Caenorhabditis elegans: one gene and its partners. The protein of the gene in region 1 interacts with the protein of each later gene in a biochemical or structural test. Each region holds a gene or a part of one and is shown in the gene's direction. Other genes may lie near its edges. The genes, in order: npr-5, flp-21, flp-3 and flp-18.

Evidence for each region.
Region 2: of the proteins of npr-5 (region 1) and flp-21, one has a biochemical effect on the other in vitro, tested with the Caenorhabditis elegans proteins (2 studies listed by BioGRID).
Region 3: of the proteins of npr-5 (region 1) and flp-3, one has a biochemical effect on the other in vitro, tested with the Caenorhabditis elegans proteins (one study listed by BioGRID).
Region 4: of the proteins of npr-5 (region 1) and flp-18, one has a biochemical effect on the other in vitro, tested with the Caenorhabditis elegans proteins (4 studies listed by BioGRID, with this or other methods).

What each region holds. Positions count from the first base shown.
Region 1 is NC_003283.11:275,845-284,189, reverse strand, and holds npr-5 (G-protein coupled receptors family 1 profile domain-containing protein), read left to right. Parts: upstream 1-2,473; 5' UTR 2,474-2,485; coding exon 2,486-2,634; intron 2,635-3,418; coding exon 3,419-3,610; intron 3,611-3,794; coding exon 3,795-3,951; intron 3,952-4,612; coding exon 4,613-4,819; intron 4,820-4,915; coding exon 4,916-5,144; intron 5,145-5,857; coding exon 5,858-6,015; intron 6,016-6,149; coding exon 6,150-6,223; intron 6,224-6,820; coding exon 6,821-6,956; 3' UTR 6,957-7,204; downstream 7,205-8,345.
Region 2 is NC_003283.11:7,790,631-7,795,138, forward strand, and holds flp-21 (GLGPRPLRF-amide), read left to right. Parts: upstream 1-2,736; 5' UTR 2,737-2,739; coding exon 2,740-2,824; intron 2,825-2,874; coding exon 2,875-2,944; intron 2,945-3,109; coding exon 3,110-3,155; 3' UTR 3,156-3,395; downstream 3,396-4,508. UniProt on the Caenorhabditis elegans protein: FMRFamide-like neuropeptide. Involved in modulating locomotion quiescence during the sleep-like state called lethargus which occurs during molting between larval and adult stages, acting via the G-protein coupled receptor npr-1.
Region 3 is NC_003284.9:10,091,446-10,094,679, reverse strand, and holds flp-3 (TPLGTMRF-amide), read left to right. Parts: upstream 1-1,715; 5' UTR 1,716-1,761; coding exon 1,762-1,825; intron 1,826-1,873; coding exon 1,874-2,071; intron 2,072-2,120; coding exon 2,121-2,297; intron 2,298-2,345; coding exon 2,346-2,461; 3' UTR 2,462-2,734; downstream 2,735-3,234. Other genes in the region: flp-2 (SPREPIRF-amide), read left to right, coding at 6-51. UniProt on the Caenorhabditis elegans protein: FMRFamides and FMRFamide-like peptides are neuropeptides. SAEPFGTMRF-amide inhibits the activity of dissected pharyngeal myogenic muscle system.
Region 4 is NC_003284.9:3,010,902-3,016,566, reverse strand, and holds flp-18 (SVPGVLRF-amide 3), read left to right. Parts: upstream 1-2,280; 5' UTR 2,281-2,288; coding exon 2,289-2,364; intron 2,365-3,406; coding exon 3,407-3,499; intron 3,500-3,548; coding exon 3,549-3,698; intron 3,699-3,746; coding exon 3,747-3,800; intron 3,801-3,846; coding exon 3,847-4,009; intron 4,010-4,059; coding exon 4,060-4,150; 3' UTR 4,151-4,153; intron 4,154-4,202; 3' UTR 4,203-4,377; downstream 4,378-5,665. UniProt on the Caenorhabditis elegans protein: FMRFamide-like neuropeptides. Ligand to G-protein coupled receptor npr-1. Involved in modulating locomotion quiescence during the sleep-like state called lethargus which occurs during molting between larval and adult stages, acting via npr-1.

The sequences.
Region 1 (8,345 bases):
TTATCAAATGACATTATGACGTTCTGATTATATTTCTAACAAGACTACAAAACGTCAGGAAAGGTGTCTTTTCGGCTGACTGATAATTAGGGGATTATCTCCTTTTGTGCATATTTTTTTTGTTCGAGAACATCCGTTTTTAGTGCACAAGATACCGAAAAATATTTATATAAAGCCTTTCGCTGAACAAATTTCGGATTTTAACAAACATGACTAGTTGTTTTGTGTTATAGATTGAAATTTGTCTAACACTATAAGTCCATGTCTATCAGATTAAATTTCTGTTTTTACAAGCCGAATTTTCTGTAAAACAGACTATTATTTTTCACATTTTAGACAAAACAATAAACTCACGTAGTTTTGAAGATAGTTTTTCACTTAAACTTCACAATTTCCAATTTCGATGAAAAAAAAACAGTTTCAACCAAGAAAGGGGTGGAGTTTATTTTTGGAATTTTTTAAATGTAAATTCTTCTACAGAATTTAAATTTAGAAAAAAAAAATTTTATATGTTAACAAAATTGGGTTAAACAAATTATATGGTTAATTCTCTAAACATTTTTTTTCGATGTTCCAATTTCCCTTTAAAAATTGAAACATCTTTTGAATACACATATGGTAAACACTACTAAAGTAACCTGGAATTTTTCCATAAATGATTAACGGGAAACGGTAACTTTCAGGCTCTATTCAAAGTTTTAAAAAGTTTTTTTTAAGCAAAAATCATTATTATTTTTTATTTCTTCATAATTTTTGGATTCAAAAAGTTGAAATTTACCACTGTAAAAATTTTCATATAATTTTTTAACCGCACAACACTGGTAGGTAGGCACATTTAAAACACGCGCCTGTCTACCTGAAACTTTTCTAAAAAATTCCCATCTCACTGCTTCTTCTTATATCGTTATTCTTGCTCCTCAAACTCAACACCCCCCCCCCATTGAGCTCACCCATAAAAACCTTCTAAACTACCTGCCTACCTTCAAATTCCCACACCAGGTGATAGTCTTCTCGTAGTGTTCTCAAATTTCACTAGACATACTGCCGGCTCACGCAGTTTTTAAGAATCCTCCTTCTCCATCTCCACTCGCCGTAAAAACGTCAAAGATTATCGCATCTCCGCCCTATCTCCGTCCAATTGCTCTAATCTTGTTGAACCTTATTTCTCTCTCTCCTTTCTTCTCCATCTTTTTTTGCTCTAAAAGCCAAAAGTGTGCTCTGATAATCTTATCATATCATTTGCAGAATTTTAGACTCCAATACTTTATAAAATTTTGTTGTTTCATTAGTAAATGTTCTAAAAATACCTCGAAAAAACCCCGTCACTTAAATGGAATTGGAATTTTTTTGGCATTCGAAAAAATGTTTTAAAACTAAACTATCATTTTTGAACTTTACTTTAAACTTACAAATTTGTTATTAAAACAAAGCCTATAATTGTGGTAGGCAGGGAAGGCGCCTCAGGCAAGCCCAATTGCCTGATGCTTACCTGAAAAGTTAGGCCCAAGAAAAATTGGTAGTCAAAAATTGGTAGTCATATAATAATGATGCGAGTTTCCTGTGACCCCCTTTTACATATTTCATTCATCAAATTGCCATTGAACCAAACATTAGTCACACTTTATCCACCTTATCACGCTGAATACCTCCAAATTTTGGGTGAATTGTTAGAAGCTAGCTTTATTCCTAGGAGCCATGTGACTTTTTTCAAGCTTAAATTTTAAATAATTGATGTTTTTTAATAGGTCAAAAATGGACTGGTGATCGGTCAAGGGAGAGCTTTTCTTTATTTAATCTCTTTGTTATCTTTGTCAAATTTTTTTTGTGTGACGTACATATAATAATTTATTTTTACACTTTTTGTTGGAAGCCCATAGGTCAAAAACCAAGGATTTACTGGGAAGACTGAGACATTTAGATAATTTTTTTGATTTTTTAAAGGTTTTTTGTTTAGTCCTAAAATTATGGAGATTATTCTTTGTTTTTTGAACTACCTGGCACATTTTAAAGCGGGTTTCGAGATTGATTTATTTAACTTCATTAACATAACAATTTATGTAAAATTTGATTTTTTTTTTGAAAATCTAAAAAAAAGAATCTAAAAATATAAAAATTTTACTTCCCGAACAATAGCTCAAAATTTTTACCATTTTTCTTTTTTTTAGAAGAAATTTCCTTTTTTTTTTCATCGACTGAAATTTGATAGAAAATTGGATTTTATGATTAATTTCCAGAACACGCTTTTCGATTTTCCCATTTTAGAAAAAAACATTTTTCGATTTTCGAATTTAAAAAATTTAAAAACTCTAAAATTTTCAACGATATTTTTATTTTATGGATTTTATGCATGTAATTTTCTTCAAAACGTTTTTATGTGATTTTGACTTTTTTGAATTTTTTTTTTCAAATCCTTTTATCGATTATATTACCCCTCTGAAAGATTCTCTCTTTAATATCAAATTTTCAATTCCAGAACCTTCGATGCATGGTTAGTTCGGCGGCCACCATTTCGACCATTTCAACCACAACGACTCCCTCCACCATCAGCAACGTTATCACAAGTCATTCGAACAATGGCTCGTGCATTCAGATCGCTGAGGCGATTGCGGCACAAGGCATCGATGATATTACTGTGTAAGTTTTGGGTATCCTGGATGGATTTTCTAACTTATAATTTCCAAAAAAACCTGTCAACTTTTCTCACCACAAAAATCACAATTTCCGTCATAGTTCAACGATCTCATCTTTTTCACCCAAAACCGCTCGAGAGACTTGTCCTCAAACATTTCAACTTTTGACATGTGGCTGACGAGTGACATGGAAAAGTGCTCTCTTTCTCATTTTCCTTGGAGAAAAATCAATTGGCAAATTTTTGTTATCATTATCAGTGTGAGAAAAGTTGTTGAGAACTAGGGTGGAGAGAGATAGATGATACAGTTGTTGTGACATCCGACAGCTGTGTGCTCTTGACATTTTTTTCAAATGTTCTTGAGCTGGAAGCATCCATGAAAATTAAATGGGGACATTAAACTGGCGATCGCAGGGAAACAAAAAGAGAAAGTTTGAATACCTTAGATAACTTAGCAGCCGACATTTCAAGGGTATGTCTAACGTCGTTGCTCTTCTAGATTTAGCAGCCGACATATTACTGTAATGAACGACGTCCCTCCTCTGTCACACTAAAGCTGTAAGAAAGTGACGTGGAACATGACCGAGAGATGTCTGCCGCACTGTGTGGTCACTTCCTTTGACAAGTAGCGGTAGACACCTCGCGGGCATGATTGGCGTAACTTTTTCTGCCACGTGTAGCACCCGACACCTTACGGTTTGTATGACGTCATTTTTTTGTCTCACGTGCCGGCCATACTCAAAGTCCTACCCTCTCCTCCCCTACACTCAAAAAATCAAATTTTTGCAGAGACTTTTACATCCGATCAATCTTCACATTCCTCTACGGGTTCCTGTTTGTATTAGGCATTTTTGGAAACGGCGGCGTACTATGGGCGGTGGCGAGAAACAAGCGGCTCCAATCGGCTCGCAACGTATTTCTGCTCAACTTGATCTTCACCGATTTGATATTGGTGTTCACAGCGATTCCAGTCACACCATGGTATGGATTTTTGTGAAAATTTTGAGGGAAATTGTTTAATTTTTATAACCTAAACTTTTACTGCAATGAAAATTGAGTAATTTTCAAAAAAAATTGTTAAAATTTTTGAGCAAGTTTTTTTAGGTGAATATCTCCTGTAGAATATGTTATGAATTTTTTCTTTCAAAAAATTCCCATTTTCCAGGTACGCGATGACCAAAGACTGGGCATTCGGGTCAGTGATGTGCCATTTAGTTCCTTTGTCAAATTCGTGTTCGGTGTTTGTGACGAGTTGGAGCCTCACTGCAATCTCCTTAGATAAATTTCTGCATATCAACGATCCCACCAAACAACCAGTTTCTGTAAGTTTTTTTCGAAATGTGCTAGATATTTCTGAAGCTTCATGAATATTCTGAAATGAGCTAGAAATTTCTGGATAGTTCTGGAATTTTATTGTAGTTTTTAAATTTTTTTTGGATATTATTGAATTTTTCTAAAATTCCTTGAATTTTCTGCAAGTTTTCAAATCTTTCTGGAAGACTCGAGAATTTTTTCTGAAGTGTTCTAGAAATTTCTGTACTACTTCAGACTTTTTTTTTGGAAAGGTTATACATTTTTTATTGTTTTAGAATTATCGGGAAGCTTTCAGAATTTTTTGAGTTTTCTGCAACGCTTTAAAAATTTCTGGACATTAAATTTTTTTTTGAGATTCCCATAATTTTCTAGAAATTCCTTGAGTTTTCTGGGATGTTTTATAATTTTCTACAAGGTTTTAGAATTTTCTGACAGGTTCTGTAATTTTTTTGAATGTTTTAGAAATTTCTTGAAGCTTCTTAAATTTTTTGGAAGGCTGTTAACATTTCAGGAATGTCCAAGAGGTTTTTGTTTAAATTTTCTAATCTTGAAGTTTTTGGATTTGTCCAAAAAATCTAGGAAATTCTGGATAGTTTTAAATTTTTCCGGTTAAAACTCATTTTTAAAATTAAAAAAAAAAACCATTTTCGAATTTCATTTTCTTTCCAGATTCGTCAAGCGTTGGCAATAACATTTCTTATCTGGATAGTCTCAACACTGATAAATCTACCGTATCTTATGTCTTTCGAGCACGTCGATGGAAGCTTTTACGTTCAGCCCGGAGAAACTCCATACTGCGGGCACTTTTGCGACGAGGCGAATTGGCAGAGCGAAAATAGTCGAAAGATTTACGGAACTACGGTTATGTTGTTACAGGTGAGCAAAAACACGCTGACCTAACAACCATAAAAATTTTGCAAACCTAAATTTTTAAAACTTTTGAAATTTTCCTACATACGTCCAAATTTGCAGTTCGTCGTGCCGATGGCAGTGATCACGTATTGCTACTTCAAAATCTTGCAAAAAGTGTCAAAAGACATGATCATCCAAAATGCTCAATTCTGTCAATCACTGACACAAAAGCAGAGAAGTGATGCGACGTCACGAAAGAAGAAAGTGAATTATATTCTAATTGCAATGGTTGTCACATTTATCGGGTGTTGGTTGCCTTTAACATTACTCAATTTGGTCAAAGATTTTAGTGAGTTTTTATTTGTTTTTTGGAAAAAAAAATCGTAGTCAACTGTTTTGAAAACGCTAACTATAATTGACAACATTTTCTGCTCAATTTTGTTTTTGACTGTCTTATATTAAAATTAACTTATTAAAGGTTGAATACGGCCCAAATGACTGAAAACTATTACTAAAATGACCAAAAATTATATATAAATTTTTAAAAAAAGTTTGAAAAGTTGTTTAGCTCAACTCGAAATGTCTCAAAAATTCCGAAATTTGTAAAAATTGGTAAAAATTTACACCTTCGCTGAAAATGAGCCATTTTTTCCAAAAATAATCGCCCAAACTTTTTTTTTGAGAAATTTTCAAAACGCCTCACTACAAAATTTGGTAATTTTGGGCCATTTTTGGTCTGAAAAACGAAATCTCTTCTCAGCACAGCACGTTCAATTAGTCGTAACATGGGCTCTTAAATTGAAAAAGGTCAAAATGTATAGTTTGTAAAAATGAGCAAAATGTGGTTAGTTTATAATTTGGTGAAAATTTATGCTGCTCAATCCAAGTCGGTGTAATGTTACGAAAAGGAAGCCTACATAAAAAGCTTCTGCCTGTGGTAGGTCTATGTAGAATTCCTGCTGTAATTCCTAGTGTGAGCGATTAAAATGTTCGAAAAAATATTTGCCGTAGTTTTCGAAACTTATGTTCAAAATCACTACACATTGAAACCAAAATTTTCAGAAAAAGAGCCCGAATGGCTAAAACGTCAGCCGTTCTTCTGGGCAATAAATGCTCACGTCATAGCCATGTCCTTAGTCGTCTGGAACCCTCTGCTATTCTTTTGGCTGACACGAAAACAAAAACGTTCCGGACTGTCAAAAATACTCAACTCAACAGAGGTGAGTATTGTAAACTTCTTCAAGTCCCCTTGTATAAAGTTTGCTCCTAGCCGTGTGCTCCTGGTGTTCTTCCCGTTTTCCACTGCTTCCTTTGTGTCCCCCCTCTCTTCCTCTGAGCCGCCTTTTGTTTTCAGATTGTGTCCTCGTTTGCCAGTAGAGTGAGTAACTCGATTCGGCGGTCAACGTTTCGGAGAAACAATATTGACAGGTACAGGTTCTCTTCTAACTTTTAAAAAACTCTCTAATCCTCTAACTGCTTGACTTTTCTCGAAAAAATTCTGTTTCCTGGTCTTTTGTACGTTGTTCAAGCTTGATATGGGGTACACATCTCCTCTTTGCGATGGGGCGCGTCTGCCGCGCAGTGCCGTCATGGGTCGTGTACTACTCGTGGACTTTGGAAATTTTTTGGAAATTTTTTCGGGTTTAATTCTAGTTGGCAGAGGCTGGACCAATCGCCGTTAAATTTGCAAGTTTTGAGTTTTTGAATTTATTAAATGCTCTAAATAACAGAGAAAAGCGAGCCATACAAATTTATAGCTAACAAACAGAAAAAATGTTGATTTTCCCGTTTAAATGCGCTTTTTTCAATCCGATAATGCAAGTGCGCTCTACCGAACAAATTAGTGCGCCATGATATCAGTTAGTTGAGCGTAATTTCGAGACTCGATTTGCATGAACCACATAGTCTACTTCCGCCGCAACCGACATTTTCTGGGTTTTGCTAATCCTACAGCAAACCCGGGGGGGGGGGGGTGTCCGCCGCTTCACTAAATACCTTCATATCTTTGAAAATTGTATTTTGCAGGGTTCGAAAAAAGCAGGTGGTTCTGGATTGCGAGGGATCCAGCTACACGACCTCCTCCCGACCTCTACTCATTCGGACAGATGTGCAGGCAACTCTTTCTAATGGCTCGACGAGTACTACCCGCGAGATGCTGTAAATTCTATACGTTACTCCCCTGTGTTCATCTTGCCCGTCTCTCGAAAAATTCCATTATCTTTATTTTCTGTTCATTTTTTGCATAACGAAACGTGCGATTAATCCGGGTCCAGTTCGCTCCGCTTTTTCTCCTCCTAAGACAGCAACCCCACAAAAATCTAATTGCCTTTTTTGTATTTTCTTTGTTTTCTTTTCTTGTTTTTTTTTGTGTCAAAATAGCGTCACCTAATAAAGATGCACGCAAAGAAAAATGGGATTATACAACAGGGAAACGTCTTGAAAATGCACACCGAGCAAGAGGCAAATATTTCTGTGTCTACGAAAATGTAGGGGTGATAAGAGTCCTGAATCACAATTTTAGCAGCACTCGACACTAACCGAGTTCCGGTATTCATCAGATCACCAAACAGCTAAATAGAGGAACCCGGCAGATGTAACAAAAACAAAAATAAGTTTTTTGCATTACTAAACAAATTCAAAAAAATATAAATACAAAAACAACAATTTAAACGCAGAGTATCATTTTCCGGGAATTTCCTTTGAGAGATCAAATATCATGAAAACAATTATCTACTAATTTACTAAAAATTTTAAATTTCTTTCATTTTTATCCGAGAAATTTATCTTCACGAAAAATACTTATTTTAAAAAAACGTACTGTATTGCTCCTACCGTACCATTATTGGCTGTAAAAACGCAACTTTAAATCCAAACAAAATATGTGAATTTCAATTCTTTCAGAAAAAAATATAACAGATTTTTTAAAAATTATTTTTAAAAATTCGACTAAAAAATCGTAGCAATTTTTTTTCAATTACGATAGAATTTCTTTCTGCCAAACTTTTTAAAAATGTGGATTTTGTGAGAAATTTGCTACACGTTTCAACATAACAAGACTATAAAAAGTGTAGAAAAAACACTTTTTTGGTCGACTTTCAAAATTATGACAAAGTTTTTACCACTTTTTGCCTATTTTATTTCATTTTAATTCAGCTACTAATGATAGTACCGAAACATTGTTAAATACAACGAAAAGTAGAGTAGTGTCCGTGGTTTTATTTTCCTAATGGACAGAACACAGTCCAAATATGCCAAAATGTCACTTTTCAAAAGTTATAGAATTTTTCAAAATTTTTTAAATGATTTTTTCAATTTTGCAAAAAAAAAAACGGTGAATTCTTTTTGTATTCTCGTCTAAATAAATGACAGCGTTTTCATGTTTTTTGTTTTATTATTTTAAACATAGTTTGTCAATTTTTCAGACATTTTTCCGTGAAAAAAATTTTTAAATGTTAAATTATCGATTTTTAGGCCAATTTCATAGTTTCATAAAGTTTATGTTCTATTACCAAATTTAATTTATATTAGAATGACGGAAAAATAGGCTAAG
Region 2 (4,508 bases), 7.5 Mb from region 1:
AGAGCTTATACTTTCACGGTCTACATATCTTCTGCTGCAGAATATTCAATGAAAACTAGGTCCAGTGACCGAAAGTGGAAAAAATTTTTTCAGTCATTCTAATTTTTCTCATACAAAAACTACTACCTTGGGCCTACAGCTAGAGTACACTTTTTCAAAGATTAAATTGAAATGAGGTCTTGACGAATTACAAAAAATACACATGCAGGCGTGTAGGCATAAAATAAGCCTTCCCAAACATCAATAAACGTTCTGAACCTGGTCCAAATTTTTGTCCATTTGTTCTAGGACAACTTTTATTATATTTGCGTAAAATTTCTGCGCTATGCCCAGTGTAGCAAAATTTTGGAAACTCGGTTTTCCAATTTAACATTGTAAGCATTTTTTTAAAACAAATTTCGAATTAAATTTTGGCAAACTACACGAGCTGGCTATTTGTATATTGTTAGATCCGAGGGTGGACGGCAAAGGGCGATTTCGGCAAAAATTTTCCGCTGCCTTACTTTTTTTTAGAAATACCGTAACCTTAAGTTTGGCCTATAACTTTCATGGTAGGCAGGTACGCTTTCATGTCTATGTACCTTTCTCTTGTCCGAATGTCTGTGTTTGCCGCAGTAGAATTTTTTTTTGAAAATCATTTTAGGTTCACAAAAAAACCGGAAATATGTAAACGCAGTCACCTATTTCTTGATAGTTACGTCGTAAGAAATTACTCTCGTAAATTGTACGGAACTTTGATCACTCGTCTGTCTTATTACTGTGGAGTCTATGACATTTCTGTCTGAACGCTGTTTCGTAAATAATAAAATGACAAATTAATAGCTTAAGCTCTGATTTTAAGCCAAAGCCTTCTTATCCTGGAATTTTATTCTAATTTTCAGTCTTCGATATCATTCCTCGAAAAATCACAAATACATATGGTGATGTGAATACTCGTCTGTAATTGTTAGGTGGCCACTTCGTAAAATGCTGATATTTCCAAAACCAAAATATAAGAGATCTTGGAGAAAACGCGTCAAAAACCAGCATTTGACGTGTACCTCTACAAATTCTTTCACCTGCCAAATGTTAAATTTGATCTACTGACCCACTAAAACACTACTTTTTTTGTTACCAATGACAATTTTTATGCGACTTTGACATTTGGACAGGGAAAAGTTTTTCCATTCTTTAGTTTGAAACCGAGTCCAAAAATTACAAAATTTTCAAGTTTTTATGCCTCGCTAAACTCTCTAAAGAAGTTTAACTTTGAAAGTCAATGAGCCAACGAAAATTTGTTTCCTCTTCTTCGATGATGACGAAATGTGCCCCGAAGTAACTCGATAATCGTGGAAATCTCTACTTTTTTCGGCTCATAAAGCTTCTTTATTTCTTTTTTTGGTTTTCATCGAAAACTTATCGTATCAAAAACTACCAACTTTTTTGAATATTTGTAAGACTACATTTTCTCATCACTTTTACCCTCCACCTCATCGTTCATCACATTTATCTTACTCCCACTTGCTCTTCACATCACTTTTGTGGGTATATCAATTGGTTGGTGTTTTTTATGTGTTTGTGAATGTTTTGGGGAAGGCTGTGCAAAAATATCAGAAAAAAGAAGAACCTACATGCATTTTGAGGTGGTCTTCATTGTGACTGTTCCTCATTTGGTTGAGATGTCTGCGAATATTAAAAATCTTAAAGACTTTTTTGACCAAAACAATGTGGTATTAAAGGGGAAAAGAAAGAAGAACGTATGTCAACAGTTTTCCTAGTTCAGTCCTAGATTTTTTTTTCAAATCAACTGTCACATTTTTAAAAGGTTAGATGTGTTGTGGAAATCTCTACTTTTCAATTAAAGTTTAATAACTTTTGGCTGTATCAAATACGTGCATTGAAACTCAACTGTTCTCACCTTAAAGTTTTCTGATGCGTTTACAGTCGGGACCAACTACTTACACTGAAACATGTTTATCTTAATTAAGCGGAGCACACTTCCTTTTATTCAAAAAACCTCATAATGCACAAGACGCTGTTTGCTTTCTTTCAAGACCGTAATTAGACAAAGTCATCGAGCAGTAGATTTTTCAAGTCAGCTATTTTCTTTATTCCAAAAACTGCATATTTGTAATACTCATGAATTTTTCATATTTTATGGTTACTCAAAATCTACACGTCTTTATTACAATCTCTCGTTGAATTATCGCGTAAAATTACATCTTCCAAAATAGGACCATTGTTGTTTTCAAGTCATAGCATATTTTAACGCGATTTCCGGCCACCTCAACTATGCTCTGCAACGAGTATGACGTGCCCAATAAATATTGGGCTATCCTGTTTTCCCACCACATACACCCTCCTCATAGTTCCCAGAAAAAACTTTTACCGGAATCACGTATACATATAACATCATCTTACCTGAAAAAACATTTCGATGTATCATTTGCCTAGGTTCTAGGATGGGTGGTTGCTCTTGGAGCAAAGGTCATTTTTGTGAGTAGTCCAGTAGATTTGGAAGGGGATACACTGAAATATTCATTTCTTGTTTCAAAGCTACCGTAGTGATCACTTCCGTCTTACTATTTATCTCAAAACTTCTTTTTTTCCACCCCATCCCATCATGCTTCGCAAGAATCTCATTAACAAATGCAAATTTACAACGATGACTATGTACACTATTTAAGATTTGATTGTGTATTCAACGTTTGATCTCCCACCCTCTCATTGCTCCAAAATCCAAAAAGTCATTTTCAGACGATGCGGCTGTTCATCTTGCTTTCGTGTCTTCTCGCGTGGGTCCTCGCAGCGCCTTATATCGATCAGGAAGATGCGCTCCGCGTTTGTAAGTTTTGTCAAAGTTAAAGATTTAGATTAATCATTAATCTTTTTCAGTGAACGCATATTTGGAGCAATTCGGACCCGGCAGTGACAGAGTTTACTATGTTGCCGAAGACGATCATGGGTAGGTCCAGTTTAATTATTTTCTGATAGACATCTTTATTAAGTCAAGTCTTACTGTAGAATAAGTTGCAAATCGCTATAATTAATAATTTACCGAAATACGAGCATTCAGCTAGAATAAATTAGTTGCGATTCAGAAAAAAGTAAACTAATTTTAAAATTTCAGATCAATGAAACGTGGTCTCGGTCCTCGTCCTCTCCGATTTGGATAAACGGTTGCTGCTCGAACGAACGAACAACATGACACAACATTTTCTCTCTTTCCTCTCAATGTAACTTTATACAAAAATGATGTTCCAGACACTCCACAATTCCAATTCCGAAGAAATATCTATCCTCTCCTTTTCTCTTTGAAAACGCTGCAGAAACAATGTTCTTTTTACTCTCTCTCTCTTTTTCTATCTCACTTCCTCTTTTTCTGTTGAACAAATAAAAACAGCTTTCAGTTTGACATTTGACTTTTTATTAAGTTTATGAGTGCCCTTATATTTAAGAATTTTCCAATTGTGCAATTGTACCCTGCAACTGTAATGGTAGAATCCGGGAAAATCAGTCAGGATTACATTAATGAAACAGTTGGTGTCTTCCCTGCAGGGGTTGAACAAACATTATGGATACTGTTTCAAGGATCGTAGTTGCCGTAATAAATCCATTGAGGCGTCTATCTCTTGAATTTCTAACATAATGTGCCGACTATATAGTAATAAAGCTCCTGAAATTGAGTTTTGGGTGCCAATTTTGTAGTTTTGTGGAAAGTGTAATGATCGTTGAATTTTGGTTTTTGATGATTTTTAAGAACATTTTCCGAGAAATTTCGTATGGCAATTAATACATGGAAAAAATCAGTCCTAGGGATTTTATTCACAATAAAACCGAGAATTCCCTAGAATTGAAGATAAAGTAGTACTTATACATAGTTTCCTACCAAAGCCGAGCCGATTGCAAAAGTTTCGAAAAAATAAAATATCCAATTCGGTTTATGATTACCGCGAAAACAGAAAATAACATATTTTGAGCAAAAATTCTAGTGTTTTTCAACAATACATTTTAACGTTAAATTCTTAGTTTGGTCAATTCAGCATTCGGGGCCACAAACTCCTGCTTCGATCTCTGCACAAATTTCTGTTATCCCTAAAAAATTATCACATTATTTTCAGCCTTATTCATTTTTAGTTAACTCAATATTCGTAAATTACGTAATAGATATTGTCGTTTTAGGATCTCGTTGTACATTAATCTCATCCAAACAAAGAAAATGAGCTTTAAAAGCTCTAAAAACGAGTAAACAAGGTATTCATCAGACAAATGGTTCAAATCGCAATAAGCTTTTTTCTATTTAAAAAAATATAGGTAAAGACCAAAATACAGGACCTTTCAGATTAATTATATTTTTAAGCTTATTTTCAAAATCTAAAACCAAAAATAAATATTTTAAAAATATTGAAATTGAGTGGGCGTGGGAATCTGGAAAGTTAAATATTTAATTCAAAACACAAACGTCTAGAAATATGAGACGAACTACTTGGACTTTGGCCAATATTCAAGAGTTCTTTGGTGTGATTTTT
Region 3 (3,234 bases), on another chromosome or scaffold:
TTCAGTTTCGGAAAACGATTCAATCCGCTGCCAGATTACGACTTCCAATAACTCCATCCTATCAATGATTCAATGCACGGTGAACCCCACTACTCAGCCAACATCATATTAGATATTCCAACATTTTCTTCCCATTCTCGTCCTATATTTTGATCCGTACTTTCAATGCAACAACATTTTTTAAACTATGTTTCCTATAACTTCGAATAAAGTGGTTGGGTTCCGCATGGAATAATAGCCCATCTGTTAACCAAGTCTTACGTTTTCTTCGCGAACAAAGGAAACGACTACTGGCACTGAATTTCAGATTTTAGCCAGATTAGGTCAGAAAACGAGGCACACTATTTTCAAGATCAAAATTTTAAAATTCAGTCTTGCTAGTTCTTCAAAGAATTGTTTCGGAAATGTCAATGAGTGCTCATAATTAAACATGTGGAGTGACTTTGGAAGGTGCTAGAATTTCCAAGAAGCTTTGATTTATTAGTTTTCGTTTTAATTTCAAAACACTGTTCAATCTTGAGAACAAGATTAGTTCAACCTACTTAATCATTTCTCGCGTTCTGACAAGTGACGTTTTTGACAAAAAATAATGTTTAATTATTCAAAAACAGAAAATCCCCCCTCCTTAAAGCTCAGTTCATTAATCAGCTTCGCTTCACAAATTCGACAAGGTGGCATCTCAACCAACAGGCACCAATCGGATTCTGTCATTTCTTTCTTTTTTGAGAACAAATGTCTATCTACGTTTTGAACTAACACCAGTCCCGGTTTAAATTTCGTACCTGACAATTATCAATCAAGACTTACATTTGACTAGCTGTGCACGCAAAGATTTAATAATTGGCGGTGGGCTGTGTGAGAGTTGATGTCACAAAGTTACAGTATCCCATCAAAAAAATGGGTTCGAGTCGTCATTCTCGTTATCCATCTAGGCTTGAATTATGATGTTGAACATCAAAATTTATAGGTTTTTCGAGAGATCCCACCTCTTCCGTTAACCGCCGCCCCGTTTCAACACAATTCTTTCAGTTTCAAATTATTAACCTGAACTTTGAAAACTACCACCTACGCTTCTTCTACTAATTTCGAGTGTCTTTTTAGACTCAATTATCTTATTTCTTTTCTTAGAGTATTCCAAAAATGTCACATGACGATGCATAAATTGAGGTGCCACCGTTTTTTAATAGAAACTCTGGCCGCAATAAAAGAGCAATAGCATTGTTACTTGGCAATTTGTTTGAAGGAGTGTTGGGCGGCGGTAGACGTCGTACGTCAAATCGTGCATTTTCGAAGTCTTTTCTCGACACAATAGTAATCGTTTGACCTGTGCATTGCAACATCAAGGGACCACTTACTTTTTAGAAACCCGCCCCTTTAAACCAAATTGCCAACGCCTCCAATTTTTACCTGACAATAGAATGTACCGAGTACTTATTAAACAAAGTTGTTCGCCAAAGCTCAGATTTTCAATAATTTTTGAGCACCGGATTTCAATTTTACTCGTTTCACATGAACATTTTTCTAACTGCACACAGTATTTACGCATTCCTGACCAAATTTCTAAAACCCCACACACCTCTTCCGGCATGACAACTGAACCGTTAAAATTGTTGAAATTAAGCTCATATAAAAACATGCAAATATCTCGGCGGTTCACAACCTCACTTCTACTTCTTCTTGACTAAATTTTCCGTAACTAATTGTTATATTTTAAGGTACCCCTTGTGTGTTAGCTCCCGCGTAACACCACCATAACCACCAATGATATCGCCCAATCACCTCATCCTGCTCTTCTGTGTGAATTGCGCGTTTTTGGTAGCGTCGGGTAGGAGAATAGAAATTATGTTTTTGAAATAGAATGAAAAGTATTTAGATGCCACACCAAAACGGTCTCCACTGGGAACAATGCGCTTTGGCAAACGAGCCATTGCTGATGAAATGACATTTGAGGAGGATGGATACTATCCGTCAAATGTAATGTGGAAGCGGTCTACTGTTGATTCTTCGGAGCCCGTCATTCGTGATCAGCGCACTCCATTGGGAACTATGCGTTTTGGAAAACGAAGTGCAGGTATTATACAAATAATTAATTTTCAAAAACTATACCCACCTGTTTCCAGAGCCATTCGGTACTATGCGTTTTGGAAAACGTAATCCTGAGAACGACACACCATTCGGAACAATGAGATTTGGAAAGCGTGCTAGTGAGGATGCTCTGTTTGGAACCATGCGTTTTGGAAAGAGAGAAGACGGTAATGCGCCATTTGGAACAATGAAATTTGGGAAACGTGAAGCAGGTATACAGTTCTGTACTAAAGTTTGATTTCACAATGTTATGCTTTTAGAAGAGCCACTTGGAACTATGCGCTTTGGAAAAAGATCAGCTGACGACAGTGCTCCATTTGGCACAATGCGCTTTGGCAAAAGAAACCCTCTTGGAACCATGCGCTTTGGAAAATAATTTCTATTTTCACTTTTCACGTTTATATTATTCTCGCTTCAACTAAGTTTTCATGTTCAACACCCCCGCAGCAGTGGCACTCTCTTTTAACATTATTTATCATTCTGGCTTCTAATTCATACCAAAATATACCGAAACGATTGCATAATTCTTGGGCTTTTGCAAAAAACTAAGGAAAAACGACTATTCCATAATACCCCCTTCTCTGTTCTTCTCATCAAGTGGTTTGCATAGATTGGAGAATAAATTAATGTTATTATTCACTTTGTTAAATTTTGTTGTTAGTTGTTCACGCTTGACCAAAATAGTTAGCTAGCAAACTGTAAGATTCTCAAATTTAGTCTTTGCTTTTGATGGAGAAATTCTCGAACACAATTTCATGGTTCGCTCGTCCGCTTTCATCATCCGATTGGCCAAAACTTCCGGTGTTTTCCCCTTTAGACACTTGAAAACAAATATGAATTCGAACATTTCAGATGTTTACAGAAGACCAACATGTGCCAACCAATGAATGCGTGGAAACTGCCGGCTTCTTAAAGAAGTTTACTCAGCCTACTCACAATAGAACTATCACTAAAGCACAGAGTCAAGGAAAAAAATATTATGGATGAACTGCAAATTAAAAATAAAACGCTGAATGTTCACAATAAACGCATATTTTCCCTTTTCTGCTTATTCGTTTTGTTCTTATTCTGAACAGTCATCGTTACTAGTTCACAATGTTATCTGTTGCTTCATTTTTTGTATATTAAAAATGGAGTTATAAAATGCAG
Region 4 (5,665 bases), on another chromosome or scaffold:
ATTAAATTTTTTGTTTTCCTTAGGCTAAGTACAACTTGAAATGGAACAGAAATTACATAAATTTATTGCTTTCACATTTTGCTCTTCTTCACTCAAATCTTGGACTCTTGCTTTTCACAAAAAAAACCTTATAAACAAAAATAAGACATCTGAAAAAATGATGAACTTCCTGTCAGTTTGTTCCAGTATCCTTCTTAAATTTCCTTGTTTTCCACATCACAAAAATCCTACATCACGCTTCGACTCATTTCCTGACAGTCATCACATCACCAAATGAATTTCTATTTTTACAATATAGTTGTAGTATTTTTGTCGAACATATATTGTTCTAACTAACTTCTTAAAAAATTGTGCTCTTGACTGAACACAAATTTCTGCGTCGTTTCACGTTTACTTTTCTCAATTTTTTAAAACCAAAATTTAACTGCAAACTTCTGCATTGTTCTAAAAACTCACAGGTTATCTCAAAAAGATAAATTTCAAAGTGAGATTTTTTTAAAAAAATTCCGGACTGTTTTTTGATTTTGATGTTTTTAATGAATTTTTAAAATTCTTTATTAGTGCCTGAAATTAACAATAATTTTAAAGTTTGTCACACTGCGAATAAATTAATCTCACATTTCGTATGTTTAGAAAGATGCATGAAACTCCGTCGTTCTTATGAAGTTAATTAAGACATGGCTAATTGAAAGCCCACATGGTCATGAAAAAGTAAAACTTACAACTTTTTACTGAATATTAACCAGTCTCTATAAATATCCCAGCTTAGCCGGAATAGGGTCACGAAAACATGAAAATAAAGCTTGAACCTATTGTTATGATTTTCAATGCCACCTTTTGCAGTTTAATATACACTATTACTACTTCTCAGTTCAAGTTCACTTCTGAGACGGAACCTTTATTTTCTAACTTTCTTTAATCTTACTTTTTATGAGCCGAATGTTCTATTTTGTAAAATGATCAGATACAAGCCCAAAGCTAATTTTGCCAATAAGTGTTAGTAGATCAATTGAATTACAATATAATGACCTGGGCGGAATAGATTTTTGCACTGATTTTTTTCCAAGCTTACTCTATGAATATTCATAGATCATCTTCAAAGGTAGCGTGTGTTGTAGTTGTGTTTTGGCGGGTTCGTGTTATTTGACTCAGCTCAAGTAGATGTTGTAGTCTTCCCTCAATCAACGCGTGGGCTTGACCCTCTTTAAATTGAGTGGAAACCAGCCAATCTATTTGAAATCTACCCCCGAAATGAGATTCGACGATGACACGACGTGTGTGTTACGTGCGCTGAGAATTTAGGAAAAAAAAGATAATCTTCTTTTCGTTAGCTGCGCCACAACCTGTGCAGATAAACTCCGCACAATTGAAGTTCTTACTGGTCCCACCCGATTTATTCAATTGTATTGTGTCTTTTTTTCTTATTTCTCTACAACTCTAACTTTCTTCAACTATTCTCTACATCAGTGCTTTTTTCCACCATGAAAAAAGAAATGACGTCGTTGTTTCTTAGGAGGGGCGGAGCCTCAACTCAATGGTCCGTTCGAATAGATCCCACCCCTCATATAAATAGGACTGAAACCAAAGAAGTTTTTAAATTTTCAGCTTACCGTGTTTCTCAATTTTCAAAATAGTCTTTTTTGTGTCTGAACGGGCTGATCAATTATGTTTTTTTTTGAATGAAAAATCTTCCTCCCAAGCCTTAAAATTCCTTCCAAAGATCGAAAGTTATGTCTATTCAAGTTACTTCTTCTTAGATCAAATATTAAACAAAAAAATACGCCATCATTCTCTCACATTTAGTAATTCAAAATTTCGATTTGTTTTCGAACTTTTGAATTTCCCGCCTAGGAAGTGACATGAGTGAAATCTCATTAGATAAATGTGCCACTCACCGATGACACTATTTTCAAATAAGGGGGGGGGGTGTTTCGAATACCTTGTACACGCGTTTCCGCAAAACCACACACCCCGAGTTCCTCAGCTTCTTCCCCTCGACCCATGAGCCACGTCAAGATGTCAGCGTGTCACTTTTCATTGCTTCACCTTCTACGGTAACGAGAAAAGGCGGGGAATCCAGGATCTGGTGTGACTTCTTCCTTCTTCGTATCTTCCTAAAAATGTTCGTTTACTTTTTAGCGAGTGTCATTTGATGGGATGTCGTTCTTGAGGAAAGAGGCTAGAAGCTTAATACTCTCATATTTCATATTATTGGCATCAAGACGTTTATTATTTAACTACAATAACGATTGCTTTAACAACTAAAAATAATAATTTCAGGGTTAGACATGCAACGGTGGTCGGGCGTTCTTCTCATTTCGCTGTGTTGTTTGCTTCGTGGGGCGCTCGCATATACCGAACCAAGTAAGTTCTTGATGAACGAAACAAAGAAAAGTCTTGGCTGATCCAATCTCTTAATTGGGTTTGAAGGGAGTTTGGATAGCCCCAGATCAGCGTGGAAGATTGAATAAAATGACGGCAATAATTTGTCTTAATGTAATCTTGAATTTTATTTTAAAATTTTTAACTTTGTAGTTTGTCGAAACGTTGGTTTCGCGTACATTAGTTTTTTTTCAAAATTCTGGACCTGACGTAGTTAGCTGAAATAATTTTGCGCGGTGTTCAAACATCGCATCCGTATTGAAACTTCATTAGTTTTTATAAGCTTCTGTGATATTCATTTTCCAGTGAGACCTATGAATAATCTTCGCTGCTTCCCACGGTCCGTGAATCTCTAGACTTGGTGTTATTGTCTTATTGAAAAGTGTTTCCACTGACCTTCAAACTTTCTATAATCTAGAGTGGCCCAATGTATTTTTGGAAGGAAAAACGCTTGGATGAAAACAAGATGTAGCGGGAAAAAAAGGGGGCGCCTATGGATATTGTGGAAAGATAGTGTTGAGTTGGATGCTGAGTTTTTTATTCTTTCTTGTCGGGGCCCGTTGGGACATGTTTCGTTCGATGGTGCTCTGTACCCATCTAGACCAACGCGGGAAGCCAAGTAAAATGACGCTGTCGTTCTGCCAAAGTGATGTATTTCGACGATTTCAATCAACAAGAAACGTGTTTTTTTTCGTTTCTTTTTTCAACAGGGGTGCACAATTGAATTGTGTCGATTTGAAAGCATGAATTTGAAATTTTTGAAAATTCTCGTAAGGTCGATCGAAACACATACATAACTGCAATTAGGAGGAATTTGGACGCTTAGCGTCCGATAGGGGCGCAAACTTTTTTTTCCAAGGGGTAGTTTTTCACGGCGTCCGATAACTTCCGAGTTTGACCACTCACTATACATAATCATATAATTTTATAATGAGTGGCTCAACTCGGAAATTGTCGGACGCCGGACGTCCGATATGGCAGCCCTAAATACAAGACGGCACATTGAAACAACTTATATTTTCAGTCTATGAAATCGTCGAAGAAGACATACCAGCAGAGGATATCGAAGTGACTCGGACCAACGAGAAACAAGACGGTCGGGTATTCTCAAAAAGAGGTACAAAATTCTTCGTACAACTAACCATCAATTTTTTGTCTAATTTCAGACTTTGATGGGGCGATGCCAGGTGTGTTGCGCTTTGGAAAACGTGGAGGTGTTTGGGAAAAAAGAGAAAGCAGTGTGCAGAAAAAAGAAATGCCGGGAGTGCTCCGTTTCGGTAAACGTGCATATTTTGACGAGAAGAAAAGTGTTCCAGGTAAGTAGTTCCTTGTTGGTTTATTGCATACTGAAAATTGACTTTCAGGAGTTCTTCGCTTCGGGAAACGCTCATATTTCGATGAGAAGAAAAGTGTTCCAGGTGGCATCATCATCTATTCTAAATCAAATAACATCTCAGTTTTTAGGCGTTCTTCGTTTCGGAAAACGTGATGTGCCAATGGACAAACGGGAGATCCCAGGAGTGTTGAGATTCGGAAAGAGAGATTACATGGCTGATTCGTTCGACAAGCGCAGTGAAGTGCCCGGAGTTCTCCGTTTCGGAAAACGCGATGTTCCCGGTGTATTGAGGTCCGATCATTTTAAGACTTCATCCAGCTTACCAAGGTTTTTGTTTTCAGATTTGGAAAGCGATCCGACTTGGAAGAGCATTACGCAGGGGTTTTGCTCAAGAAAAGTGTGCCAGGTGTTCTCCGATTCGGACGGAAGTAAATTGTAAGTTTCTAAATAAGATTTTGCCAGTCTGACATGTATCAAGTTTCAGATGAATGTGAATGTAAAATGTGCCAGCGACAATTCGATGATCTCGTTGTTTTTCTTCTTTTCTTCCGAGCGTCTCATTTCAATCACTTAATATTAAGTTTTTGTCTCTTTTCAACAATGATACTAAACGTTGTCAATTCTAGAGCTCCATACGATTAAATGAATCATTTCCTGTTACGTCAAACACAGTTCGTCTAATTTTTGAGTAATGTAGTTGTGTGTCTATCAATTGTTTTCTGAACAATGTTGAAAAGCAGATTTGTTCATGGTTGACGTGTGTTGAAAAGAATAATTACCTCCAACTCTGTGCATTTTAGGAATTGATTCATTGAGCTTTCAAACGATGAAAAAGTATGCTTTGTGTTATGTCAGTTATCAGATTAGATAAGTCTAAACAGAACCCAGTGTGAAATGAGTCTATTCATGAAGCTGCTGAAAATTTGAAGCATGTGTATCAAAATGATTCCAAAAAATTTGAAACGCAGAAAAGTTTTTTGAATTATCAAATAACCAACTTCATGTGCACAGGTAATTTCCGTCCTTAATTCTCTTTCAAGTTTCAGATTTGATTAATTGAATCTGGGATCATGAAGATTTTTTCAAACTGCTTTTCCCAATACACTGATGAATCTAGTACTGTACAATTTTTCTTTCATTTCAGAGAGAGCATCAATATTAAAATTAATTGTAAGCAAGTCAACAAAGTCAACAAGTTTTCTACTTAATTATGGCTTCACTTTTCACTACGTTCATTAACAATAATTTTAAGTACCGTATGTTTCGGAGTGGTATCCAACCCATGAGGTACTGATAGGACTAACAAAAAATTCTTAATCAATTAACTTATTAGGGGTGATTAAAGGAAAAAACCTTGAATCACAACATTTGACGCATCCATTTAATTGGCCGTCGGGCCCGTGCGGCGGTGTTGAAGACTGAAGATTAGGCCAATGTGCGTAGCGCCATGATGATGAGAGTACGGTCGTTGTTGTGTGTGTGTGTGATAAACACTCTTTACGTTGGTCCGGACAGAGGAATTGGGGGAGAAATGCGTTGATGATGTGTTGACCGATGAAGATAATAGCTATAAAATTTACATTTTACTATTGCCTCTTTTTCACAAAAAAAATTAATTTCTCACTTTGATAGCAATATCGATCATTTTCGTACATGATTCACAGCTCCATTTCTTTTCATTTAACCAACGTCCATCCTTCGTTCTAAAACGCACATTATTAACTTATCGAGTTTTTATGAATGAATGCATGCACTCTGCTAATATATTTGACCTTTAAGAGCAAAACACATAATCATAATTTGGTTACAAAAACTGTTATAATATAAATGCCAAAGATTAGAGGCATACTCACCGATCCGGGCAGAGTGACAGTAAATGAGCACATGTCATAGTTTGAGAGGAACGTGCGTTGGTATGGAAGATTTCTTTGTTGAAGCCATCCAATA